4 linked regions of the Stegostoma tigrinum genome follow. The protein of the gene in region 4 interacts with the protein of the main gene of each other region in a pairwise test. Links are inferred from orthologs where the notes say so. Each region holds a gene or a part of one and is shown on either strand. Other genes may lie near its edges. The genes, in order: heterogeneous nuclear ribonucleoprotein U-like protein 1, arrestin domain-containing protein 3, fbxl18 and wwp2.

Evidence for each region.
Region 1: the proteins of wwp2 (region 4) and heterogeneous nuclear ribonucleoprotein U-like protein 1 interact in binary tests that used the Homo sapiens proteins (3 or more experiments, as listed by UniProt). The link is inferred for Stegostoma tigrinum from reciprocal best matches to the Homo sapiens genes WWP2 and HNRNPUL1.
Region 2: the proteins of wwp2 (region 4) and arrestin domain-containing protein 3 interact in binary tests that used the Homo sapiens proteins (3 or more experiments, as listed by UniProt). The link is inferred for Stegostoma tigrinum from reciprocal best matches to the Homo sapiens genes WWP2 and ARRDC3.
Region 3: the proteins of wwp2 (region 4) and fbxl18 interact in a two-hybrid assay, tested with the Homo sapiens proteins (3 studies listed by BioGRID and IntAct). The link is inferred for Stegostoma tigrinum from reciprocal best matches to the Homo sapiens genes WWP2 and FBXL18.

Annotation. Positions count from the first base shown.
Region 1 is NC_081392.1:7,469,703-7,477,015, forward strand, and holds the start of heterogeneous nuclear ribonucleoprotein U-like protein 1, read right to left. Parts: upstream 3,014-7,313; 5' UTR 2,791-3,013; coding exon 2,580-2,790; intron 1-2,579.
Region 2 is NC_081356.1:92,345,285-92,352,374, forward strand, and holds the start of arrestin domain-containing protein 3, read left to right. Parts: upstream 1-4,073; 5' UTR 4,074-4,327; coding exon 4,328-4,607; intron 4,608-7,090. UniProt on the Homo sapiens protein: Adapter protein that plays a role in regulating cell-surface expression of adrenergic receptors and probably also other G protein-coupled receptors.
Region 3 is NC_081376.1:10,999,976-11,006,964, forward strand, and holds the start of fbxl18 (F-box/LRR-repeat protein 18), read right to left. Parts: upstream 3,014-6,989; 5' UTR 2,818-3,013; coding exon 2,572-2,817; intron 1-2,571. UniProt on the Homo sapiens protein: Substrate-recognition component of the SCF (SKP1-CUL1-F-box protein)-type E3 ubiquitin ligase complex.
Region 4 is NC_081369.1:42,090,338-42,097,960, reverse strand, and holds the start of wwp2 (NEDD4-like E3 ubiquitin-protein ligase WWP2), read right to left. Parts: upstream 3,021-7,623; 5' UTR 2,970-3,020; intron 1-2,969. UniProt on the Homo sapiens protein: E3 ubiquitin-protein ligase which accepts ubiquitin from an E2 ubiquitin-conjugating enzyme in the form of a thioester and then directly transfers the ubiquitin to targeted substrates.

The sequences.
Region 1 (7,313 bases), on a different chromosome or scaffold from region 4:
AAGGACATTGCTTGGCTGGCGGTGAGAGGGGCTCTGCCAGTGAAATCCTTTATGCATGTCCGGAATCTCTGCGCCACCGCACGCTGCCCTTGAGGTGGCTGCGGGGGGGAACGAGACTGTTGATCACCTCCTTCTGGAGAGTGCCTATGCGCAGGAGGTCTGGAGGGGGATGCATTGGTATTTGTCGAGGTTCGTCCCGAGCAGGTCCGTGACGTGGGACTCTGTACTCTACGGGCTGTTTCCCAGGACGCACACCGAGACCAACATCAACTGCGCCTGGAGGACCATCAATGCGGTGAAAGACACTCTTTGGTCTGCCCGCAACTTGCTGGTCTGCCAGCTGAAAGAACTGACCCCGAGCGAATGTTGCAGACTGGCGCACTCCAAGGTCCAGGACTACGTGCTGAGGGACGTGCTAAAGCTTGGGGCAGCCGCCGCCAAGGCGCGGTGGGGAAAGACCACAGTATGAAACCCCTCATCCAGAATAGAAAAAAGGGCCCTATCTGGTAACTGGACCCAGCTGGTGCCTTCCACAACTGGTCAGGGAGCCAACTGGGACTGTGCGGGGTGACGGCTGCCGGGGTATTTTCTTTGCTTTTTTTTTCTTTGTTTGTTTTTTTTCCTTTAGTTGGTGTACGTACCCCCTGGGTAACCCGGAGCGACTTGCATGACTGGGTAGGTGTATAAATGTTTTATTTTTTGTACATCTTATGAATAAAGTATATTTTTTCAAATAAAAAAAAGTAACGAAACGTCTGAAAACTAACCTTCCAGCACAGCGAGCAAACTCACATCCAGAACCTCAGAGATAATGGGAACTGCAGATGCTGGAGAATTCCAAGATAATAAAATGTGAGGCTGGATGAACACAGCAGGCCAAGCAGCATCTCAGGAGCACAAAAGCTGACGTTTCGGGCCTAGACCCTTCATCAGAGAGGGGGATGGGGAGAGGGAACTGGAATAAATAGGGAGAGAGGGGGAGGCGGACCGAAGATGGAGAGTAAAGAAGATAGGTGGGGAGGTAGGGAGGGGATAGGTCAGTCCAGGGAAGACGGACAGGTCAAAGAGGTGGGATGAGGTTAGTAGGTAGCTGGGGGTGCGGCTTGGGGTGGGAGGAAGGGATGGGTGAGAGGAAGAACCGGTTAGGGAGGCAGAGACAGGTTGGACTGGTTTTGGGATGCAGTGGGTGGGGGGGAAGAGCTGGGCTGGTTGTGTGGTGCAGTGGGGGGAGGGGACGAATTGAACCGGTGCGGCTTCCTCTACATTGGGGAAACCAAGCAGAGGCTTGGGGACCGCTTTGCAGAACACCTCCGCTCAGTTCGCAACAAACAACTGCACCTCCCAGTCGCAAACCATTTCCACTCCCCCTCCCATTCTCTTGATGACATGTCCATCATGGGCCTCCTGCACTGCCACAATGATGCCACCCGAAGGTTGCAGGAACAGCAACTCATATTCCGCCTGGGAACCCTGCAGCCATATAGTATCAATGTGGACTTCACCAGTTTCAAAATCTCCCCTTCCCCTACTGCATCCCTAAACCAGCCCAGTTCGTCCCCGCCCCCCACTGCACCACACAACCAGCCCAGCTCTTACCCTCCACCCACTGCATCCCAAAACCAGTCCAACCTGTCTCTGCCTCCCTAACCGGTTCTTCCTCTCACCCATCCCTTCCTCCCACCCCAAGCCGCACCCCCAGCTACCTACTAACCTCATCCCACCTCCTTGACCTGTCCGTCTTCCCTGGACTGACCTATCCCCTCCCTACCTCCCCACCTATACTCTCTCCACCTATCTTCTTTACTCTCCATCTTCGGTCCGCCTCCCCCTCTCTCCCTATTTATTCCAGTTCCCTCTCCCCATCCCCCTCTCTGATGAAGGGTCTAGGCCCGAAACGTCAGCTTTTGTGCTCCTGAGATGCTGCTTGGCCTGCTGTGTTCATCCAGCCTCACATTTTATTATCCAGAACCTCAACCTGAGCTACAAATGTTCTCAAAACTCGCTACAGAGATTCTAGTTATGGTTCATATCAAATTCTCTTTCAAGGCCAACTATGGAATCTGTTTCCAGCACATGTCAGGCTACTAGAAGGGGGGAAACAGCCGTTCTGCCGTGCTTCTTAAGACTCTGTAAATAAGCTCAGAATCAAATGCAGTCTACTAAAAGCTAAAATGGGGCATAAGTCTTTCCAGGAAATCAAACAACTAGATGATTCCTCTTGAAAACACAAAGACTTCCATCCAGAAATAACTGCAGATTCACTGGAGTCGAAACTCAGAACTGCTTTCTCTCCACAGACGCTGAATCTCTCCAGCAACTTCTGCTTCAGACCTTCAGCACCCGCAGTTCTTTGTTTTATTTTAACTGCAGATTCTATTGCATTATGGGTTGAGAGCCAACAGTCGAGTAATTTAAAAGGGGGAGGAAATAGATGAGATCAGCGACCGAATGCAACGAGAATATCTCACTCCAGTCGTCCCCTCCCTCCCCATTTCAAGGTGAGTCCGTGGGCGGGATCCGCGCCTGCGCACAGCCGGCTTACCTGCCGGAAGCTCCGCGCATGCACGCCTAGGCCTCACCTGCCCGCGCTCTCTCCGCCTCCTCCTGTCGCTGCCGTTCGGCAGTGGCGGCGGCTTTGGCTGCTTCTTGTTCTTCGTCAGCGGCACGGTCCAGAGCTGCCTGCAGCCGCTCCTGCAGATCCGCCTTGAGGCCCTTTGTGTCAAGGCCGCGTCTGTGCAGCTCCTCCTTGAGCTCGTTCACTTTTAGTTTCCGCACGTCCAGCGAACTCATTCCCGTTTATTTAAATTAAAACTATTTTCTCAATTTCTTTTAAAAATGCCCCACCACCAACCAAAAAAGCGGCTTAGTAATGTGGGAGGCCACGTGAAGGAAAAAATATAATAAGTGCACTGCTCCAACCGATTGGCAAAAGGTAAAAAAAAGGACACTTTGGATTCTATAAAGAAAATTCCTCTCTCTTGCCGCGGCGTCTGACGAAACAAAATGGCCGCCGTCTCCCTGCACCCACTTTGGTGGCGCCAGGCGCAGCCAAACCCACTTTTCTCTCCGCGCTCCTCATTGGTCATCAGCTGCTCACAATGCGCCTGCTGTTACCAAATCGCCAATCAGGAGCCGTCTCGCAGCCGGCCTGCCCCTTGCTTCCGCTGCTGCTTTGAGTCACCGCTTCTCATTGGCCTAGCTTCCCCGCAGCTTGAAAGGGGAGTCAAATTTGGAGGCCCTGGTGTGCGTATGGGCGGGTTGGCCAATAAAATTCGGCCTTAGAGGAGAGTAGGCTCTGTGCCCAAAGGCCCAATCAACATCCGGAGTCCAAGTTCCAACTTCTATCCGCTACTACCATAGGACAACAGCGTTCCCGATTATCTCGAAAGCTGAATGGGCTGTTCAAATGTCAATCAAAACCATTCGGCTACACCAAAGGAAAAGGATATTTTTCAATAGGGATGAAAGTGAAGTCCCAAGAGATGTAAAAAAACTCTTCACTTTTGTTAAAGAGGTACATCTAATAAAGGAACTTTTTAAAAAATCCATAACTAAAATTTTACAAGTAAATAATATTAAAATGGGGGATAATTGAACAGTAGTGATGTCACTAAACCAATAAACCACAGGTATTTACAATGACTCAAGGATCATGCCACTCCTGGATCCGGGGGAACTTGGATTCTATTAATTAATAAACCTGAAATAAAATGGTCAATTCACAATAATAATGGTGAAACTACCAGATTGTCCTAAAGCCTCATCTGATTCACTAATGCTCCTTAGAGTCATACAGCACAGTACTAGACCCTTCAGTGTATCTTGTCTATGCTAACCAAGTTCCCCAAATGAAACTAGTCCCATTTGCCTGCATTTGCGCCAACCCTTTCCTATTCATGTACCTGTCCAAATGTCTTTTAAATATTGTAGCTGCACCTGCATCTACCATTCCCTCTGCAGGTCATTCCTCATATGAACCATTGTGTGTGTGAAATATTTGCCCCTCAGGTCACTGACATATTTCCCCTTTCAAATAAGCCATCTAGGGAAAAGACCTTGCTATTCACCTTATCTATAACCCTCACGATTTTATAATCCTCGATAAGGTCACACCACAACCTCCTATACTCCAGTGAAAAGCATCCCAACCTATCCAGACTCCCTATAACTCAAACCTTCCAGTCCCTGTAACATCCTTGAAAATCTATTCTGCACTCTCTCCTACCTATTAATATCCTTCCTATAGCAGGGTGACCAGAACTGTGAACAGTACTCAAAGTGGCCTCTTCAACAATCTGCATTCAAAGCTCTGATCAACAAAGATAGTCTGGGAAGGCAATCTGCTGTCCTTGCTTAGCCTGGCCAACATGTGATTTTGGATGGCTCTCAAATACCCTCTGAAAAAATCTAGCAAGCAACCATCATTCAAAATTACCACCAAAAGCTGAATAACAACAGATCACCCAGCATTAGCCTTCACACTGGAAACAATAAGAAACAGCCTCCCAAGTGAATGCCTCTCATTATCTGGGAGAACTGTGCCACAGACTTGTCACAGATGAGCGATCAGAGTCCAGTCCTTCTGGGGCCGAATTCCTGTCTTCACACTGGGATATCCTCCATTGTATTGTATGCTACTGACACTTGAAAACTGGAATTAATTCAGGGCGGCTTTAGTAGCTCAAAAGTTGGTCATCTCAGAGACATTCTGAGCCATCAGCTGTAGCAGACTTTCATTCAACAATCTGTAACCGCATGGCCCATATATCCCTCACTCTACCATTGCCGTCAAGCCGCAAGACCAACTCTACTTTAAAAAGGATCATAGAAAAATAAAACAGAAGCACCAACAGTCAAAACAGGGTGCCAAGTTGGTGAAGCCACTACACAGGACTAACATGCAAACAGCAAGTACAGAACAATATAGGCAGAGCCAAGTCACGCCACAACCAATGGGCCAGATTGAAGCTCTGCAGCCATGCCACATTCAGACATGATGTTGGTGCTCAATTAAATAACTGGAGGAGGACGCTGTAAAAATGTCCTCGTTCTCAATATCAGTGGACCCCAGTATGTCAGTGTGAAAAAAACAAGGCTAGAATGTTTACAACTATCCCCAGGCAGAGTGCTGAGTGGATGATGCATCCCACCCTTTCCCTGAGTTATCCAGCATCGCACATAGTAAACTTCAATTTTTTTTCACTCAGTGATAAATGAGTAATATACAGCATACAATGATAATATTTCCAACAAAGGCCCTGTAGCTAGAATATTTGTGCTCTAGAACTATTTGCGTCTCTTGCCAAACTGTTCTAGCACAGCTCTGACACCTACCAAACAATGTGGAAAATTGTCTAGGTAGGTTGTGTCACAAAAAGCATAGAACATTACAGCACAGTACAGGCCCTACGGCTCTCGAAGTTGTGCCGACCTGTCATACCGATCTCAAGCCCATCTAACCTACACTATTCCATGTACGTCCATATGCTTATCCAATGACGACTTAAATGTACCTAAAGTTGGCGAATCTACTACCGTTGCAGGCAAAGCGTTCCATTCCCTTACTACTCTCTGAGTAAAGAAACTACCTCTGACATCTGTCCTATATCTTTCACCCCTCAATTTAAAGCTATGCCCCCTTGTGCTCGCCTAGGAAAAAGGCTCTCCCTATCCACCCTATCTAACCCTCTGAATATTTTATATGTTTCAATTAAGTCACCTCTCAACCTTCTTCTCTCTAATGAAAACAGCCTCAAGTCCATCAGCCTTTCCTCATAAGACCTTCCCTCCATACCAGGCAACATCCTAGTAAATCTCCTCTGCACCCTTTCCAAAGCTTCCACATCCTTCTTATAATGTGGTGACCAGAACTGTACACAATACTCCAAGTGCGGCCGCACCAGAGTTTTGTACAGCTTCACCATAACCTCTTGGTTCCGGAACTCGATCCCTCTATTAATAAAAGCTAAAACACTGTATGCCTTCTTAACAGCCCTGTCAACCTGGGTGGCAACTTTCAAGGATCTGTGTACATGGACACCGAGATCTCTCTGCTCATCTACACTACTAAGAATCTTACCATTAGCCCAGTACTTTGCCTTCCGGTTACTCCTACCAAAGTGCATCACCTCACACTTGTCTGCATTAAACTCCATTTGCCACCTCTCAGCCCAGCTCTGCAGCTTATCTATGTCTCTCTGCAACCTACAGCATCCTTCGTCACTATCCACAACTCCACCGACCCTGGTGTCGTCTGCAAATTTACTAACCCATCCTTCTATGTCCTCATCCAGGTCATTTATAAAAATGACGAACAGCAGTGGACCCAACACTGACCCTTGCGGTACACCACTAGTAACTGGTCTCCAGGATGAACATTTCCCATCAACCACCACCCTCTGTCTTCTTTCAGAAAGCCAATTTCCCATCCAAACTGCTATATCTCCTACAATTCCATTCCTCCGCATTTTGTACAATAGCCTATTGTGGGGAACCTTATCGAACGCCTTGCTGAAATCCATATACACCACATCAACCGGTTTACTCTCATCTACCTGTTTGGTCACCTTCTCAAAGAACTAAATCCGATCCATCCACTTTCTGCTATATCAGTCTACTCTCAGTCAGCAATCCTGTGACATCCAGCAGCACTTGATCAGGAACAATCCACTCACTTACACAATTTAGATTCTGCGCTAGCCACTCAGTTCCAGATCTCATTGCAACCTTGATTTAACTATCAAAAAAGAAATGAGGTGAACAATTGGAATAGGGGAAATTTATCCACTCATTGGAGTCATACCTAATACAAAGAAAAATTGGCTAGGGTTGCTGGAGGCAATGATCTCCATTCCAGGACATCACTGTTAGAGTTCCTCAGAATAATAAAGTTCCAGGCCAAACCAGCTTCACTTGTTTCAATGACCCCTACCTTCAATGTAAGGTCAGAAGTGGGTATGTTTGGTAATGATCGCATTTTTCATACCATTCACAATTCCTCAGATACCGAAGCACAAGGCAAGAGATCAACAACATTCAGTCTTAGGCTGATGTGTGACACAAATGACACTTGCCCACTTAAGTAGCCGGTAATCATCATATCATTCTCCAACAAAAATAGTATCAAACCTTCTCCCTCTAACATTGAATAGCATTGAGTACTGAATCCCTACTGTCAACATCCTAGATTTACCATCAGCCAGAAAACACATTTGAACCAGCCATGTAAACACTATGGCTACAAGAACAGGTCAGAGGCTGAATAATCTCTTTTACCCCCAACCCCTCCCCCGAAGCACAGGGTAGCTAGGCAT
Region 2 (7,090 bases), on a different chromosome or scaffold from region 4:
GGGAGTTACAACAGCAATTTTCCAATCATCTGGGACTTTCCCTGACTCCAGTGACTTTTGAAAGATCACGACCAAAGCCTCCGCTATTTCCTCAGCCACCTCCCTCAGAACTCTAGGATGTAGCCCATCGGGGCCAGGAGGTTAATCAATTTTTTGGACCCTTTAGCTTTTCTCGCACTTTCTCTATTGTAATGCCTACCGTACTCAACTCTGCCCCCTGGCTCTCCCTAATTGTTGGCATACTACTCACATCTTCCACTGTGAAGACTGACGCAAAACACAAAGGCCATCAGGCAGTGGTTAGCACGTAGAATTCTCGAGACCCTTCGGGAAAAGGAGAGGTTGGATCCTGTCGTGTGGTTCCCCACGCAGACTGCCAAAGTCGTTTGGCAGAATGCCTCATCGCCAAAACTTTCAAACAAGCACAAGGACATTGCTTGGCTGGCGGTGAGAGGGGCTCTGCCAGTGAGATCCTTTATGCATGCCCGGAATCTCTGCGCCACCGCACGCTGCCCTTGAGGCGGCTGCCGGGGGGGACGAGACTGTCTATCACCTCCTTCTGGAGTGTGCCTATGCGCAGGAGGTCTGGAGGGGGATGCAGTGGTATTTGTTGAGGTTCGTCCCGAGCAGCTCCGTGACACAGGACTCCGTGCTCTACGGGCTGTTTCCCGGGACGCACACCGAGGCCAACATCAACTGCGCCTGGAGGACCATCAATGCAGGGAAAGATGCTCTTTGGTCTGCCCGCAACTTGCTGGTCTGCCAGGTGAAAGAACTGACCCCAACCGAGTATTGCAGACTGGCACACTCCAAGGTCCAGGACTATGTGCTGAGGGACGCGCTCAAGCTTGGGGCAGCCGCTGCCAAGGCACTGTGGGGAAAGACCACCGTATGAAACCCCTCGTCCAGAATAGAAACAAGGGCCCTATCTGATAACTGGGCCCAGCTGGTGCCTTCCCCAACTGGTCAGGGGGCCAACGGGGGCTGTGCGGGGAGACGACTGCCGGGGTATTTTCTTTGCTTTGTTTTTTTTCTTTGTTTTGTTTTTTCCTTTAGTTGGTGTACGTACCCCCTGGGTAACCTGGAGCGGCTTGCATGACTGGGTAGGTGTATAAATGTTTTACTTTTTGTACATTCTATGAATAAAGTGTATTTTTTCAAATTAAAAAAAAGCGACAAAACGTCTGAAAACAAACCTTCCAGCTCAGCGAGCAAACTTACATCCAGTGCAAGGAATTCCCAGGAGGATGCCCTAGACCAAATACCTTCGGCTACACTTTTAATGAGCTTCTTCCTACCATAAAATCAGAACTGGGAATGGTTATTGATGAGTACACAGTGTTCAAAACCATTCATGACCCCACAAATATTGATGCAATCTGTCTATGTGCAGCAAGGCTTGAATAGTCCTGCTTGGGCTGAGAAGTGGAAGAAACACTCCCCACAGCTACAAGGCAATGTCCTTCTCCAACAAGAAAGAATCTAATTGTCTCCCCTTCGCATTCAATGGCATTACCATTGCTAACTGCATCACTTCTGAACATCCGATGGGTTATCATTGACTAGAAACTGAACAAGCCATATAAATACAAGACCAGGTTAGAGTCAAGGAATTGTATAGAAGATTAGTCACTTCCTGTCTCTACAACACCTGTCTACCACCTGCAAGGCACATGTCAGGAGTGTGATAGAATACACTCCACTTCTTTGCATAAAGCTCCAACAACAATTGTGAAACTCAACACCAAAAGCAACTTGTTTGAATGGTACACTTCTACCACCATCAACATTCATTCCCTCCACCAACAATGCAGCAGCAGCACTGTGTACCACCTCAGAGATGCACTGCATTAATTCACCAAGGTTCCTTTGAAAGCATGATCAAAACCTGCAAACTGTACACCCTGGACAACAGCAGGAATCTGCTTGGATGCACCGTCATCTGCAAGTTCCCCTCAAGCACATGCCATCCTGACTTGGAAATACATTGTCATTCCTTCACTCTTGCTGGGTCAAAATCCTGGAACTCCCTTCCTAACAGCCATTGTGATGTCCCTAATCACATGGATTGTTGCAGTTCAAAAAGGTGACTCTGCCATTTTCTCAAATTGTGGGGATAGGCAAAAAATGCTGGCTGGGCTAGTGATGTCCAAGTCCATTAAAAAAACACCAAATGTAGATATTTTCCACGCAATCTGTTCTGAGATGTTGTCACACTTGTTACCCCAGGTTTGTCAAGTGCCTAATTGAGGTGATTAAGGTGAATAACAGATTTGATAGAGAAGTTGGAGTTAGTTAAACTATTTTCCCTTAGTGAAGAAAAGGGAATAATGAAGGGTCTAGGCCCGAAACGTCAGCTTTTGCCATCCTGAGATACTGCTTGGCCTGCTGTGTTCATCCAGCTTCACACCTTGTTACCCTAATAGCCGTTAATGTTGCACAACTGACAATTCCACAATTGACACTTGTGGATTTTCGTTGGGCAGAGTAACTGAGGATTTATGGAACCACATCGAGTAGCTAGAATAACGATACAAACCAGCCGTCATCAGGTTGAAGATAATAAAATGTGAGGCTGGATGAACACGGCAGGCCAAGCAGCATCTCAGGAGCACAAAAGCTGACGTTTCGGGCCTACACCTTTCAGCAGAGAGGGGGATGGGGAGAGGGAACTGGAATAAATAGGGAGAGAGGGGGAGGCGGACCGAAGATGGAGAGTAAAGAAGATAGGTGGAGAGAGTATAGGTGGGGAGGTAGGGAGGGGATAGGTCAGTCCAGGGAAGACGGACAGGTCAAGGAGGTGCGGCTTGGAGTGGGAGGAAGGGATGGCTGAGAGGAAGAACCGGTTAGGGAGGCAGAGACAGGTTGGACTGGTTTTGGGATGCAGTGGGTCGGGGGGAAGAGCTGGGCTGGTTGTGTGGTGCAGTGGGGGGAGGGGACGAACTGGGCTGGTTTGGGGATGCAGTAGGGGAAGGGGAGATTTTGAAACTGGTGAAGTCCACATTGATACCATATGGCTGCAGGGTTCCCAGGCAGAATATGAGTTGCTGTTCCTGCAACCTTCGGGTGGCATCATTGTGGCAGTGCAGGAGTCAGATTGAATGCCGTTACAGGCTTCAGTTTGAAGGTCCTTATTCCTACTTCTACGTCATGTTTAAAAAGTCGTCAAAACGCAATCTTTACATTTCGCCGATAAATCATGGAGCCTCAAGAAAGATTTACATTGTGAAAATATTTTTAAAGAGACATCAATATTGCGTGGATTGCTTATTTCGGGGCAGTAGCTGAAATGTTGAAAGCGAGTGAAAGACGTGAATGTATAAAAGTTCAAAATAGATGTGGAAAAGAAATGACATATGTGCGAGGTAAAACAGAAGACGGAGAAACGTTAGAATGCTGTGATAAATCGAACGGATGTTAAGTCGGGGATAAAGGAAATTAAGTTACAAGTAAAAAGTAACAGGCTGTCTTCATCCAGCTCTACATCTTGTTATCTCTAAAAAGTACCCCTAAGTAGTTGTAAATTTGGAATTGGCTATTACATGAAATAGCCACACGGTGTCGACAAGGTGTAGAAGACTGACGAGAGGAGGATTATACACCGAATATTACTTGGGTGCAACAATTGCAACAACCGCTATTATTATTTTGTATTGTGCTTCAGCGACGGTTATGTCTATTTTAATGTGCAGAATAAAGCCTTCAAAATCTATTGCTACCGCACGGACGAATAATGCAACATGAGTGCGGCAGATGCATGCGACGTGACCCATGTGTTACTGCAACAAACCGGGGAGTGGCGCTAATTCGAATGCTCGCCTTGTGCATTGAATTGATGGAATTAATGACCTTTTGTAATCGCGTTAGTACAAAAAATGCCTGCGGCACGATAGACTGCGAATTCTGATATTATATATATGTATATTTTTAATGGTGCAAATAAAAAACATGTATTTTATATGTTTGTCTCTGTGCTACTAGTCTACTTTAAGGGGGAATGACCTCAATCAGCTGTTGATCAGCTGGCACTGGCTCTAGACTCAAGGCGGAAGCAGGGTGAATCATGCACAGGCGCACTGGAGTTGTTTTTCACAAAAACCGTTTTAAGTGAGGTGGTAGGTATGATATCCCCGTCTTTTGTACAGACCAAAAGCTGGGCAACAGCATCTCTAACTGTCCAAATCCAGATGCTCCTTTTTAATATTGCAGTGGTCGTGCCTGCTGTTTTTGCAGCAAAAGGCACTGATCAGTGGTGAAGATCCCACTTTTCAGATTTTTTTTGTACTTTTTTTATAGTCACGTATATCTACATAGATTATAAATAACCATGGTGCTGGGAAAGGTGAAGAGTTTTACAATAAGCTATGACTGTCCTAATGATAACAATATACCCGTCTATGCCAGCGGAGATTCTGTCTCTGGACGGGTAATTATAGAAGTTACTGGTGAAATCAGGGCGAGATCTCTTGCAATCCATGCGAGGGGACAGGCGAAAGTACGCTGGACAGAATCGAGAAACGCTGGTTCTAATACTGCCTATACTCAGAACTACACTGAAGAAGTAGAGTATTTCAGCCACAAAGACCTTTTAATCGGGCATGATAGAGGTAAGCTTGGAACTGGAACAAATAATCTTTCTGATCTGAGAGTTTGTTTTGTTTAAAGTCTTTGTGCAGCTTACTGTAACCCTACTGTAAAATGTGAGCAATGGAGATCAGATTGTACGACCAATTTAGAAGTGCAATTTTAATGTTATAAAACGTTATTAGTTATTATAAGTATTAAGATAAAGGAGTTAAAATTTCATTTGACATAACTTCATAGATGTAAAAGTTCGGTATCCTGTCACTCACCTTTCACTGCCAATTTGTTTGCCAATGAGTGGTGAGATTTTACATAGGGTGGTTAGCAATGGTTTCAAACAAATTTCGTGACAATATTTTGCCGATTTTCGAAATTGCAGTAATTCTACTGCACCGATTTATAGGGTTTAACTCCTTTCTTCCTGTTCAGGACCGTCATTTTGTAATATGCAAAAGAAATCCAAACGATTGCACTGTTGAATTTCTAGTGACAGTTTCATCCATCCAAGCGTTTTTTTCTTTGCAATTCAGATTTGAAACCAAATGTCTAAATTACAATAGAAAATAAATGCCTGACTGCCCTTTCAATAATTGCAGTAATGTGTGTGCAGTGACTTCCAGACCAAGTCTTTGAATTTACAGTCCAAAAATGTTCGAAAACTCGTTATTTTTAAAAGGAAAAACTTATTCAAATAATTTCTAAATCGATACAATGGGGCCATTTAATCTAAATTTGATGTGCTATGTGGCTTACAGCAACATTATTCGACCCATCACTTAGAGGTGTCATTGACATTAAATTGATTATATATAGATTTCTGCAGTGACATCGCTTGTCTCAATATTATATTTGTAAACTTATATATTTAACAATTGCAAATTTACTGTATATTCAGTAACATTCAAAAAAGGTTAGTTGTTTTCCTAAGTTTCCACCCTTTGTTCAAAGCGGTTCAATCCTGTTTGGGACAAGCATTAGGGGGGAGGGAGGGGGAATGTGAGTCTTCTCTTCGCTCATTGGTTTACACCGTCAGATGGTGAGGATGACTTAATGCTATTTTGCAGAAAAACAATTTGCAACAGCTGCTTTGCACCTTCGTAATATATGTATATTACCAATAAAAATATATTTTTTTCCTTGAAATGACCTTTTTCCACACCGGTGTGTGGGTATAGGTGTAATACCGTATCAATTCAATTTGCAAATCTTCTATGAAATTGCGTTATTTCAATCTACTTTCATGGATACGGAAAAGAATGAGCCCCTGGCATGTTTTTTTTCAGTACATATTTACATCAACCTTAAATATTCCGGAGGAGGATCGATCAGCGGATTAAGAATACAGTTGTGCTTATTTGTCTTAACCTTGCTGAGTGAAAAGGCAGAGATGTTCACTTTATTTCTAGTTTCTTCAAACAGATATTTTTGAGATTCTACAATCTGCACAGTACATCGTGTAAATGATGTGCAGTCGCCATTTATTCATTGCAAAATGGTAGAAATTGTAATACAATGAAGTTTGGCGTGCTGTGTCTTACCAAGTTTTCTGTCGTTTAGCTTGGCTTTGTTGCAATTGCTCCTCCCCGACGTGCCGATTGGTTCCTCTGTTTGTTAGACTGTTGCTAAGGCGCCGTTAACTTTAGATTGGCCAGTGGAGCTGTCTATCACCTATCGTTTGTTCTGCTTCAGTGATCGACTCTTGCAAAAAAAATCTTTTAAGAGTTCATGGTCTTATAAAAAGGGTGGATTTAGTAAAGCAGGGACGTGGCAGGAATGCATCATTATTTAGAACGTGTATAATCGATGTCATTTTATTTCTGAGAACAGTGGCAACGTTAAATCTCCCCTTTTGATGAACATTGTAGTCAATCGTATGTGCGATTCTCAAGCCCTTAAAATAAGAGGCCGAAGCAACAATTTAAGTCCAAATGACAACACAACAATTTTCTTTTTTTAAAAAAATTCTAAAAAATCCTTTTTCTACGTGTGTGCGTTGAGAATGGGTTGCATTTATGGATCGCCTGGTGTGTGTCCAGCCCCTCCCTTCCATTGCTCTTGTTTCCCCCCTCTCTCCCTCCCTCTATGAGCAGACTAGGCTGGGCTGGGCTCTGCTGCTGCTGATGAATACCATGTGGTTGCGGCTGAGCTGGGCTGTTCGCTCCGGTTCAGGCCGGCTCTCTCCGCTGTCTGCCTGCTGCTGATTGACAGCTCACTACTTGTTTACCGCTTCACTGCAAAGCTGAGCGTGCTGAGCTGGCAGAAAAAGGGGAGAGGGAGAAATAGGCAGAACCTCATGGAGGAAAATAAAGTTGCACAAGAAATCGTTACAAATAATGTTGTATTATGTTGCAATTTTTTTAGATTCAACATTATTCTTAAATTTATTTTTAACCATGACAATGCTATGGATAGAAATTGATCTTCAAATTGCACCGTGTAAGGATTTCGAACGTTTCTAGTGATTTAACAGTTTATTTTAGAAAAAAGGCACTAATCCCTATTAAAA
Region 3 (6,989 bases), on a different chromosome or scaffold from region 4:
TGATCATACAGTCAAGGCCTCATTCAGAGTCAAAAAACTGTGCAATTTTGTGCTAGCTGAGCCTAGCCCTATCCCGCATTGGATTTTCATACACTTCTACACCTCCTTCTGCAGCTGGTCCGCATATACCCTGTCCCATCCGTCCAAGGACGGGAGGAGCTGCCAGGCCAATCGAAGCTCCCTCTGCTGGATATCAGCTAACTCAGCAGGCACCCAGCAGTGACCCTGCAATCTTCCACCAGCTAAAGCATAGTTTATATCAACTTGAACATACTTTCGGCATTTCAGAAAGATACAGAGCATCTGTGCCATTATCAATTTTTGTCTGACTTTTCTCCAGTGAAGCTTGCTAGGAGTTGTTATTACAGTAAACAAAGCACTTTTATGTATGCATGTAACTGTTGAAATTTTGGAACTTCTGCTTCATAGTTTAGTCATTTGTCATGGAATAATTGAAACATGCAGAACTGGAAGATCTCAGATTCAACCAAGTGATTATTCTGGGTTAGCAGGGCAGTGTTTCTTTCAATTCTTTGAGCTTTGAGGGAATTACACGTCAGGCTGAAGAAACTGCAAATCTCTAAAGTTTAGCAAGGACAGACTGAGTGCTCCCTCCCCTGGGAAACACAAGCTCACCATGAAGTTTCACATGGAATGTGAACATTTGCCCTGGGTATCAGAGGGTATCTGGTCAATGACCACCAGGAAGACAGAAAAGGATAGAAAAAAAATTGAACAATCAGCGAGGAAATAACTGTATGCAATTCCCTGATAGAAGCAAGATGATCTCTGTGTCATCAAAGAATCAGAGTTACTAAAACTTTGTCCACATATGACAGACCTTCCACTCAAAAAGATGGTTTTGTGAAATTAAAGAGCTACACACCATTCTCAACTTGACATGACGACTCAAATAAAAAAAATGCACTGTTGGTCAACCTCACAGTTTTTTAACTTATCAGCAAAAGCACTTGCTTCGCTACTCATTCGATTTGCAAAGATCACAGAACAAAGATAGCCACTGCCTGTACCTGAGAGGTGCCGGTGCCATGGGCCAGCAACATACCAGATTAAGAGTGAACCTTCAAAGGTTTAACTATTGGTGATTTAACCTTGAATAATGCAACCATTTGCAAGAGATCACAGCCACAGGTAAGGTAATCTAAAATTATGTTTACACTTGTACATGAAACAACAACGTGAAAGCACAGAATCAAATGCTTCACCAAATTAAGTTATCAACTTTTATTAATATAAACAGAAAAATAAAAAGGAAGATCATTCTTGGACTCAACCAAGTGAGCTCAGTGGAAGTATTTCATTAGAGCAAATTTCAAAGGAAAATTGTTTGGAATCATAATGGAACATAAAGTAGGGGAAAGACACAAACTAAAATGCTGTGCAGGCACCTTAGTGCCAGAATGTTAGTTGAACAAAGAGGAATCAACGGTCAATTTGATGCTGCATACGTCCTTGACAGTACGCTGGCAGTGGAGACCAGGAATGCAGAAAATTGAGGCAAACCACCCCTAACAACCCTCCCTGAAGTGCTATTCTACTGCCACTAAAGTTGATCAGCCATCGCATCTGCTTTGCCCAAGATCATCAGAAATTACACATATAAGGGTAAGTTAACTGACTTTGCAGGGCATATGTTAATCAATGTGCTTGTTAAATGATCTGTAAGGGTAACAAGTGGTTTTTCATTTTCTTGCAGCATATTTCACAAGAATCACATTCTGTAGTTTCTACAATTCCATTCATAGAGAAACAAAATTGGTAGCTGATTGGGTTTTGCAGCAGTACATCTTCTTAGCTAATTTTAAAGTTTAAAAGTCAACAAGTAGACCAGGTTTTTTTTTTAAATTAAATCACTCCAAAGAGAGATAGTTGATTGGGAGTCATTTCAGTTAACTCAGATGACTCGACAGCTGGTTTGTGATGCAGAGTAATGAAAACAACATGGACTCAAATTCCTGCTCCAACTGAGTTACGATAAATGATTCTCCTTCTCAGCCTCTCCCCTTGCCTGAGGTCTGGTCACCCTCAGGTTAAATCACCCCCCATCATCTCTCTTTGAGAGAGAGAGTAGAACCCTATGGTCTGGTAGGATTATGGTGACTTTACCTTTTTTATAGATACAGAAAAAGGTTTGACTGCAACGTGCTAGATTTGGCTTATGTCTGAATCTAGTCTTGGCAATATAGTTGAATAGTCAAGACTACAACTGGGGAAAGCTAATGCATTACTTCCCAGCTCCCAATTTATTTTTTTGCTCCTGGGGTTAGAAACAATGGCCAGCTCAGATTGAAATTCTTTTATTTCATCCCAGTTTGGTGTTGAAATGAAGTTGTTTAGAACACTGAATGTAAACACAGTGGAAGTCAATGAAAGGATTTCACAGTTCACATTCGGCTGTAAAGTCACCAAATTGAAACATTGGCTCAATGTCTGATCCTAAATACGTGCAGCACTTTCTGACTGTATTCCAGAGGGCTCAGACTCCAGCTATCTCCCATTGTCACAAACTATTAATACGATGCACAGAGTAGCAGTGGGTTGCTGATTTACCTGGTACTCCTTGTGCAGAGTGACAGAGCTGACCAGGCTCTTGTCCATACACAGAGCCGCCAACTTTCTATTCACTTTCCGGACATTGAGCAGGAGGTCGCAGCTGGGTACAAACCTCAGGATGGTCAACAGAATCTCATCGGAAAACTCGGTCAGGTTGAGGGACTGGGTGTGGGGTCGGGGTTGGGGTTTGGCCTGCTCCTGCTCCTGCTCCGGCTCCGGCTCCGGCTCCTCCCCGCTCTCCATCTCTTCAGGCGCCGGCTTCAGTTAACAGCTCACTCGGGGGCAAGGCAGCACATCAACAAACAACTATATTAACGAATAACCAAGACGTAAATAGGAAAAGCTTTAAATAAAAATATTTCACGCTCCCTGACAGTCCGAGGCAGAACACAGAGCACATCCAATCCACTGCCACTCACTCTGCCTGCACCAACAAACTAACGGCGCTGCTCCGGAACTTAATTCCGACACACGCACTGTGGAATCCGCCCCGCATGCCCCATCGACTTCTGCCCCGCATGCCCCATCACTTCCGCCCCGCACGCACGGTGAAACCCGCCCCGCATGACCCATTGACTTCCGCCCCGCACACACAGACAGCCGCACCACATGTCCTATCGACTTTCTGGCCTGCTCAAGCCCGACTTCCGCCACACGTACCGCCTGACTTACGCCCCGCCTGCTCCCCCAAGCGTCCGCCCCACTCACTCCCCGACCTCCGCTCCTAAGTCGAAGGCAACTGCGGTACACAGGGACAGGCTGTTCAGCCGCGCTTCATTTCCTGGAATCCGAGAGATTGGGTTTTCCTTTCCATCCCGGTGGCATCTAACAAGAATTTTACAAATAAAACAAAAACAAAGTTGCTGGACAAAACTCCATAGGTCTGGTAGCATGTGTGGAGGAGAAAACAGAGTTAACGTTTCGGGTCCGGTGACTCTTCCTCAGAACTGTTCCGACCGACCCGAAACGTTAACTCTGTTTTCTCCTCCACAGATGCTACCAGACCTATTGAGCTTTTCCGGCAACTTTGTCTTTGTTCCTGATTTACACCATCCGCAGTTCTTTTGGTTTTTATTAAGAATTTTACAACAGTGCCCTGCCCTCGTGTTTCTTTTGGAAGCGGACAACTCATCATAATTAAACAAATCATAAAAGGAAACTCGTCGAGATTAAATGATGTGCTAAGGAAGGGGCTCCGGACCCGAAACGTTAACACTGATATCTCTTAACAGGCGCTGCCAGACCTGCTGAGCTTTTCCAGCAACTTCTGATTTTGTTTGAAATTAAATGATAGTGTTTCCAGGATCGGTTATTGACTCCAATGCCGGGGAAAACTCGGTTCTCTAAGCGGATATCGTGTGACATTATGTCTGACCCATAGCTCTGTAAGGGTTAATAAAACAGTCTCACTCCGTTTCCCCAGGTCTTCTCACAGAGTCTTACAGCAGAGAAGAATATTCAGTCCGTTGTGCCTATGATTGTTCTTTGAATGAGTTGTCCCATTAGCCCGACTACCACTATTTTATCCATACACTTAAATAAAAACCGAAAGAACTGCGGATGCCGTAAATCAGGAACAACGAGGAAGCGTCACTGGGCCCGAAACATTGACTCTGTTTTTTCCACCACAGATGCTGCCAGACCTACTGAACTTTTCCAGGAACTTTGTTTTTGTTATCCATACATTTGTTTACTTTTTCTTTTCAAAGTACGTGTCCAATTCTACTTCGAAAGTTTCTGCCCAATGTATATTACTACAATTCATACTGTGGCTTGCTGTGTTAACAGCGATTGGAATAGGGTGATTACACTGTTTCTTCTTGACTCATAACGTGTGTGTTATTTTTTAAAAATATGTAACAGAGGCTTATCTTAGTATGAGCTCAATGTGAAACATATGTCGTGTCAGCACACTAGCCTCTGATTCGGGCCCGATTCCAGAGCCTTGGTTGACACATGAATGCAGTTCTGAGGGAGTGCCAAACTGTCAGAGATGATATCTTTTGGTTGAGACTTCGTACTTTCACGTGGATGTAAAGACACTGATCCCATAGCACTACATGGAAGAAGTGCAGATGAGTTACTCTCCAGGGTCACGGCCAAAACTTTACAGTTTTCTCATGTTCATGTCTCAGTGTCGTACAATGCTGGCAGAGCAATTAGGGACCAGGTGGATTCAACGTTTCACCTTTGAACATTACTGAGTTATCTGAGTTCAAGTATGGTGAAGATAGGGACCCTTCCATACGTTTCTGCATTCTATGAGTAACAAACAGGACTCATGCTTCTGTCTAAAGGGGCCCTAATGTTTGTTTTGAAGTAAAAGATGACCGATTGTGCTTGAAGGTTTTCCTGATTTCTGGATAAGGACTAACAAAGATTGCCCTCAGATGTAACGATATAATGAAAACGACCAAAGTATCAAAACATGAAAAAGGCCTAATCACAGCACCACCTACAGGCACATCGGTTATCAGCTGATTTTTAAAATATATATAATATATTATAAAATATTATTATAAATATATCTTTAAATAGCGGTTATCCACGAATCAACTCAACAATAGCTTTCAAAATGTTTTTTTGGAATAGAATTCTTAGAAAATGATTTATTTATCTTATTAGATGTGCTATCTATTCCTCAAGTATCAGAACTATTCTTGAAATATAGTCAAGTGTTTTGCATAAAAGAGGTAATATGGTGTGAAGTTGGATGAATACAGCGGGCTAAGCAGCTTCAGAGGAGCAGGAAAGCTTGACGTTTCGGGTCGGGACCCTTCTTCAGAAAAAGTGTTCTGCATAATGTGTATGCAGTTAGAGTTAAACGTGACCAACAAGACAGCTCTTACAAACAACAATTGGAACCTCAAAGATGTTACAGGTCTGAACTCTGTATTTCACGACGTTCAAACATTTACAAATTGAAATGTTTACCAGCAGCATTTTACACATCTCTTACTACATGACAATTCACATAATTTCAGCATTACTAGAATGCAATAAAGTGTAATTACATAAGCAGAAATTAGGTAGGTCAATGCCTTTACAGTAGCTTCAGGTAATAAACTGGTTTCCTCAATAAAGAATTTTTTCTCCGCTGGACTAACCAATGAGCAATAATAGTTTGTTATCATCAGTTTTGCTTTTGTTACATACATTATAATTGTTATTTCTCCAAGTTAAACCTTGTCTTTGATTCTACATCAGTTTATTCACTCTTTCAGCAGAAAACACACTTAAATTAAGCCAAATGTTCTGTTTCTGCAGGACTATCTTTTGTCTTTGCATCCCTGAAGTTTAGAAATTAATATGCAATGGTATATATTTAATTGAGTCCCTCTCACTATGTAGATGATTACTTTGTATAAAAATTGGCCAGTCTCCAGGGTCATCTCAGTTCAAACTTTGACTATGCTTCACCATTTAATAAAAGTTAACATTGTTGCAATACAAACGATTAATAGGAGTACTACATCAGTAAGTCAATTTATTCATCTTTTCCCTGAAGAATATTGCAGCCATTTCACATATATGATATACTTTTGGTATTTATTGCTAATTTGAGACAAGTTAACTTAAGATGCAAGATAAATCGTGATTAAAAATTAAATCCTTAAATTCCATGGAGATCTCCAGTTTCCCATGGCAACTTAGTTGCAAAAGGAGAACTACCTCGAGATTTCATGGCTCTGATATTTATACAATAACAGATAAAATAAATAGGACTTGTCTGTGCTTAGAAGCAGTCCTGCATTTTGAGGATAATATTGAACCAGAGGATTGTTCTTGGCTTTGGCACTATTGGCTCCAGGGTCAAGAACTTCGAAATGATTTTTGGGACTGCCTAGATTTTCCTGCATGTGATGTAGCATCCTTTGGAAGCAGGGACCTAGGATTTGTTCAAACCATGGGGAAAGTGGAAGATTTATGTTCAGTGGAGCTTGAGTATCTGTTTGATACGACTATTAGGCTTTTGGTTTGACATTTGTGGCAAGTAAAAAATCACAGATCTGGCAGCAATAGCTTCAAACTTTCTCATCTTTCTTTAAACATCAAATTTGATGTTTGTGTTGGATTTCTGATGTGTATCCTTATGTGTGTCTCCTAATGGAGTCTCATTATGACAGATGTGAGAGTTTATGGGCTGAAAGTAGACATTATATACAATTTTAAAGATATATTTATTACACATTTCAATCAGAATTTGAAAAACACATTTTCACTCATTTCCTGTCTGCATAACTACATTTTGTTATCACTTTTATGACTTCTTCTATTATGAATTCCCATTTTGTCATTTAAACTGTAGAAGCTCAAAGTCATCAGGCTCCCACTACTATGCAAAGCTCTCAGATATAATTGCTGATGTATTATCCTCTTCCAAAAAAAATTTATAATGCTTTTATGAAGTACTG
Region 4 (7,623 bases):
CCCTAGAATTCTGGATGGTACACAGTCAATTTAAATTGTTTTATTCCTAAGCTATCCAGAACTTCCTTGGATAACTGATGTATATTTGACCCTTGATCTGATGGTATCTCTGTGGGTAGTCCGTACCCAATAAAGAAACTTGAATAACTCTTCTACAATCCTTTACAGCAATACTGTACAATAGATTCGCTTCTGGAGTACAACATAGGTTTACAAAAATGTTACCTTACCTAACTATTGAGTCATGAGAACAGATCATATAAATTAGGCCTGCATTCTCGAGAATTTAGGGGGTTGAGGAATGCTCCAATCAAAGTCTTCAAGATATTAGCAGGAAAAGACGGGTAGATAAAGAGATTATATCCAAAGGTAGTGACTGTTTGGAACTCTCAGGATTTAATGGATACACGATCAATTGTTAATTTTAGATATGAAAAGAAATTTGTTGTTAACACTCGTACTGAATCATAGAATCTCTACAGTGCACCAGGAAGCCATTCAGCCCATTGAATCTGCATCAGCTCTTGAAAAGCATCCCACCCAAATCCAGCCCCCAATTCTATCCTTAAAACTCGCCATTACCATGGCTAATCCACCTGATTTGTATATCCTACTGGATACTAAAGAGAATTTAGCATGGTCAATCCACCTAACCTGTCGATTTGGACTCTAGGAAGAAACTGCAGCACCTTATAGAAACACACACAGACACAGGAAGAACATGCAAACTCCACACAAATAGTCATGGAATAGAACAAGGTGCCTGGAACTAGGGGGCAGCAGTGCTAACCACTGCACCACCATATCATTAAATAAAGCTATTAAGGAATATGGGCCAAAGTCAGACATATGGTGTTAGGCCACAGATCATGGCTGATCAGCAAATGGTGGAATGGACTTGAGGGATGAATAGCCTACTCTTGTTCCCATAAATAAGACAAGACTTTTCATACTAGAGCCCCCAACCCATATCTCCCACCATAATATGAAACTGCTCTTCATCTTTAACACAGTATATTAAATTCTTTGAGACGCTGAGATAACAAGGTGTAGAGCTGGATGAACACAGCAAGCCAAGCAGCATCAGAGGAGCAGGAAAGCTGACGTTTCGGGCCTCGACCCTTCACACTTTTCTGATGAAGGGGCTAAGGCCCGAAACGTCAGCTTTCCTGCTCGTCTGATGCTGCGTGGCCTGCTGTGTTCATCCAGCTCTACACCTGGTTATCTCAGACTCTGCAGCATCAGCAGTCCCCACTATCTCTGAATCAATTTAGTACACTGTATTTTTCCTCTATTTATTGATTTTATTGACACCATCCTTTTGTTGTATGTTAAATATTCTATGCAAGAAGAGCGGTCTTTGGGAAGTCAACATGCTATTTGAAATACTGAAACGTCTTAACTTGTGTTTATATGTATAGGAACCCACATTTCAATAAAACGCTGATGTAATTGTATCAAACCTTCACAATTGTCAGAGGAAAATAACCCACGGTTGTCCAGCTCTGCCAGCATTTTTTTTGACAAGTACGCATATGCAAATAAAATATTCACAAACTAGAAGCTTAGTATGAATATTCAAGTTTTTAAATTATCCATTCAACCAGCATAAACGGAGGGCGGGCTTTAGCAGCAAGCTCAGTGCTAGCGTTAGGTACTTTCAATTTTGCATCAACAGTAAACAAGAGCCTGGAATTTCCTACATGGGCATGATCAAGATCCTCGAATCAAAAATCGCAGCCAGTCCCGCTGACGCACACCTAGTTACCAGTGAGTCTCAAAATACACCCAAACATAAAATGGGCACAAACCAAGTCAGAAACTATGATAAGCAGCATTTTTCTTTATTTAACGTTTCAACCGCCATTTCATGCGTATCAGCCGAACACGAAGAGTCTACAGAGATTAGTGGGAGCTGCAGGTGCTGGAGAATCTGAGATAGATGAAGGATCTAGGCCCGAAACGTCAACCTTCCTGCCCCTCTGATGCCGCTTGGCCTGCTGTGTTCATCCAGTTCTACACCTTGTTTACTAAGAATCTATAGCCGGAGCAAGTTGTTCAGTCTTTAAACGTGACTGGTGTTCCTGCCATAACAACGCATTGAACAGGAAGCGAACTCTACGAAAATACTTCTTTTAAATGAAAGCAACTCAATTTTAATAAAATTACTTCCTGCTGAATCCAAAGTCTGGTCGTAATTTCTACAAAACCTCAAACACATGGGAAGAAACCCTGCATCGCTCCATTCCCCCCCCCCCCCGGTCTAAATTCAGGTAAAAGCAAAACACAAACTATATGGAAATACAATCAAATGAATCCTTCTCTCCATAGAGGAGAAGTGAAACGATTTGGAACTTATGCCTGACGTAAACAAAAGTCATTAAGAAATTTTATTAACTACTGGAGTCCACACGAGCTTTGCCCTGACATTTCAAGCTCGGTATGTCATTTTAACGGCTCCCTACACCCACCACCCACAAACTGTAGCACCAATGCCGGCCCCTCTACACTTCAGTTCATCTAGGCTTGAAACATTTGCTTGCTCTGTCCATAGACATTGCCTGACCCGCTGTGATCTCCAGCATTTTGTTGTTTTCAGCACAAATTCTGGCATCTGCGGTCATTTGCCCCTACATTTAACGGGAGGCAGGTCAAGCAAATTTTCTGGAAAGCGGAATGTGAAGGTGGCCAGTGTGGGCGAGCAGCTTCCTTGGCTCTGAGTTCAAAACGCTGAAGACGACCCCGCCAGCTGCCCGACAAACCGCTGTTATTATTTACGACCGACTGAAAGCCCTGAACAGCACTCCCAGCCCCCCTCAGCCAAACACACAGCTCGCCGCATCCTCCTTTTCCCCACCACCCGCCTAAAATCACGCACCGTGTACTCTAAAACGATTAATTAGAGGTCCAGTTCCTCCCACCCACCATTAATAAATAGTCATATCAGCGGCCATCAGCCATCACTTTACCTCAATCGCCGCTTTCACTTCCGCCTTCTCTGCCAGCTGACTGCTATCACCTGACCGGAAGTAATCCTGCAGCCTAGCAACACCAAGGCTAAGTCTGGGCCTAGGCTTTGGAACCAGAACTGCTTGAGAGAAGGCCTCACCTGAGTGCAATGAATATTTTCCTTTATTGAAGCTATTGAGTTTAACATGTCTACAATGAGTCTCTCAGTCAACTTTGTTTTGGAGATAATGGGAACTGCAGATGCTGGAGAATCCAAGATAATAAAATGTGAGGCTGGATGAACACGGCAGGCCAAGCAGCATCTCAGGAGCACAAAAGCTGACGTTTCGGGCCTAGACCCTTCATCCTCTCTGATGAAGGGTCTAGGCCCGAAACGTCAGCTTTTGTGCTCCTGAGATGCTGCTTGGCCTGCTGTGTTCATCCAGCCTCACATTTTATCAACTTTGTTTTGATTTGCTTTAAAAATGTCACTAACTGGTGAAGGGTCCCAACCCGAAATGTGAACTTGCCTGCTGTGTTCTTCCAGCTGCAAACTGTGTTATCACTAGTAGGTGGAATCTAGGATAACGTAATGGAAAACCTTGTATTGCAATGCCCTGTGAATAGTCTAAAGTGCTTTACAACAAATTGATAACTGTTGAAGTGCAGCTATAACGATTATGCAGACTGATGTTGCTGCAAAATTGCAGAAGATACAGAAGCTTGAACACATGTACCAGCAAAGTTCAGGAACTTTCCTGACTCTTATTAAACTGATGAATGGACTCTCAAATAATGTGGATTTTGTTGATGTTGATTCTGCCAAGTGCACACCCTGTTCAATGTAATCTATATGCTGCTATCTTAAGTCTTCTTGATCTATACATCCTTCCTTACTATGATTTGCCTATAGTAAGTCAGAAATCCTTCAGGATTCAACAGGAGACAGTCAGTGAGCCATTTTTAGGGTTGTTACCTTTCTGCTTCTAAATTCTGTGTTGTTACACCTCCTCTTCAACACCACACCTGGGGAAGGTGCGAAGCTCTGAAAACTAGTGTTTTCAAATGAATTTGTTGGACCGTAACCTGATGTCATGTGACTTTTGACCTTGTCCACCCCAGTCCAGCACCAGCACCTCCACATCATGGCTCATAAACAAAACTTTTCATTCCACTTTGGTATGTGTGACAATAAATCAATCAATCAATCTTGCAATGTCCAAACAAACTCATTGGCCAGTTATGGTGGTGTTAGCAAAATGAGTTCAAACAGGAATGTTGGCAAAGGCACTGGAAAAACTGAAATAAAAGCAAAATACTGAGGATGCTGGAAATCTGAACCACAGAAAATGCTTGAGGAAACACAAAGTCTGGCAGCATCTGTGGAGAGAAATAGAGTTAATGTTGAGATATAACTCTTCCTCAGAACTTATTCTTCAGGACTTTTTCTTAGTCTGAGATGATTATTTTTCAGTTCTGAAGCCATATTGGACTCAAAATGTTAACAGTATTTCACTTGCTATGTTTGTTACAAACAACGCAGCCTTCAAGACTCTCGATCCTGACCACAGTGAGCAGTGTCTGTTCCCCTGACTGTACTGTCCCCAATTACAACCACATTTCTCTTTTTTTTCCCCCCAGACTGTTTCTTATCCACCCAATAGCCCTTGCTAGGACCAAGACTGTCAAACCTGTTAGACAAACTCAAGTGCTGAGACTTCTTTAGCTCTACTTCCTCGATCTCTCTACTTGCCTCGCTCATAGTAACATCCCTATGTCCCTGACTACTGACCAAATTTGAGGTAATCTAAGGGGTGTAACTGCCTCCTGAAAGACACCATACAAGTATTTACATAAAAATCCAAATCTTTGCTTTTTTAGTAGTCCCATCTGAAGGTGGTGAGTACTGCTGAGACATCTTGGTGAACATAAGTTGCTTGCTCTGCAGCACTTAACTTACCTTCACTAAATAATGTAAAACTAAAGGAGAAATGGATAAATTAGTTAGGTGGAAAATCAGAACTGTGCAAAATGTTTTATGCTTTTACAAATCAAAACAGAACTGGAAACCTTGAAGCAAATTGTGTCATTCTCCCAGATCCCTGGGGATTTATTTTGCGGGTATAGATGATGTTTTCAATGCTGTCTGTATCTGCATTCTTGGTGACTTGTTGATATATGATAGGAAGGGATCACATAATCAGAAAGAAATAAGGCATCCTCCTCTGGACCCGGACTGTGACACTACCATCAGGCATCAGGCCTTTTGTGTCTACGACAGTCACTAAACTCATTTCATCTGGTGATCTCCCCACTGTGCACTCCCCTCACCAACCGCCTCCAAGCTGATATTCCCCCAACCCATATAGCCTGCTTTTACTTCCTTCCCAAAAGCCACAAACAGGACTGCGTGGGCACACCCATTGTTACTGCTTGCTCCTGCCCCACATAACTCATCTCTTCCTACCTTGACTCAATTTTTTTCCCCCGTATCTAATCCCTTCCCACCTACATCTGCAATTCTTCTGATGCTTCATGTCAGTTTCTGAATTTACAGTTCACGGGCTCCAGCTGCCTCTTTGCCAGGCACATGCAGTCCTTTTACACATCCATTCCCCACCAGGATGTTCTCAAGGCTCTCTGCTTCTTCCTAGACAGAAGTCCTGAACAATCCCTATCCACAACCGCCCTCCTCCACATAGCTGAGCTGGCCCTGAACAACTTCTGCTTTACCTCCTCTCACTATCTTCAGATCAAGGTGTGGCATGAGTATTCACTTGGGCCCCAGTTGTGCCTGTCTCTTGCTAGGGTACATGGAACATTCCTTGTTGCTGTCCTACTCGGGTCCCTCCCCACAACTCTTTCTCTGGTACATCGATGATATCATTGGTGTTGTTTCCCTCTCTCATTTGGAGTAGGAAAAGTTTATCTATTTCACTTCCAAATTCCATCATGCTCACCTTTCTTTGATCCATCTCTGACTCCTCCCTTCCCTTCCTCACCATATCTGTTTCCATGTCTGACTCCAATAGTTGCCCAGACTATACATCATTACACCCCATTTTCTGTAAAGATTCCATTCCACTCTCCCAGTTTCTCTGTCTTCATCACATCTGTTCTGATGATGCCAGCTTCCACAAGGGGGCCTCCAAAATGTCCACCTTCTTCCTCAACCACAGATTTACCACTGTCCTGGCTGACAAGACCCTGAGCCATTTCTGACCCATCTCCCACACTTTGGCCCCACAGCACCAATAGGGTTGCCTTGGTCCTCACTTACCACCCCACAAGCATCCACATCCACAGGATCATTAGTCACCATTTCCACCACTTCCAGCAGGATGCTACCAAAACATACATCTTTCCCACCATTCTCTTTTTAGCCTTCAGCAGGGACTGTTCCCTCCAGGACACTGTGGCCCACTTCTCCTCCACTCCCAATGCCTCCTCACACTCCCACAACACTTTCCCATGCAATTGCAGAAGATATAACACCTGCCCATTTACTTCCTCCATCCTCACTGTCCAAGGAACCAGACACACGTTCAAGGTGAAACAGTGTTTTACCTGCATTCCATTCAATCTAGTTTACCGTATTCACTGCTCATTATGTGATCCCCACAATACTAGGGAGACAAAATGCAAACTGAGCAGTGGCTTTGCAAAACATCCATGTTCTGTTCGCAAAAATGACCCTGAGCTTCCGGTTGCCTACCACTTCTGCCTACCCTGACCAATGTTTTTGTCTTGGGCTTGCTGCACTGCTCCCATGAAGCTCAGCATAAGCTGGAAGAACAGAATCTCATTTGTAGCTTGGAGACCCTGCAGCCTTGAAGACTTGATATCAAGTTCAACAATTTTAGAGCTTAAGCACCTTCAATGTCCTTCCCCTAACCTTCACACACCAGGCTTTGTTATCACAAGGCTGCTACCACAAACAACCTAGCTTCTCATGGTGTCAGCTACAAATGGTCCCCATTAGCAACTGTTGATTCTCCCAGGCTGACCATTATCCATTCCTTTGTCTAATCAAGTGCTGTTGGTTCTCTTGACGTTTCAGGTCGGGACCCTTTTTCTGAAGAAGGGTCCCGACCCGAAACATCAAGCTTTCCTGCTCCTTTGATGCTGCTTGGCCTGCTGTGTTCATCCAGTTTCACACCGTGTTATCTCAGATTCTCCAGCATCGGCTGTTCCTACTATCGCTGTTGGTTCTCCCTGGGCTCCATCTCCACCCATCATTTATCCCACCTCCCCACCAACTCCATCTTCAGCATACATACCAAACTAGATACAATCAATTCTCTGGAAAGGTCACTGGAACTAAGACATTAATTCTGCTTTCATTCCACAGGTACTTCCAGACCTGCTGATTTTCTCCAGCTATTTCTGTTTTTGTTTGAGATGGGTAAAGCACCTCAATCATGATTCTATGGGTCTGGAAATGATGAGATCAAAGTTAAATGAATTTTTGAATATTTGATTTTCTTATGTGTTTGTAATAACTATTCAGTTGTCCCATTGCCAGAATACAATTGTAATAGTTGTTCTTAACTATGTTTTCGCAACTAAAATATGTCAAATATAGCATTCATTTGAGTGCACAGACCATCTTCAGATTAGGACATTCTTCAGATTAAGACTGCCCAGTCACTGAATACCATGAAAGAAATCATC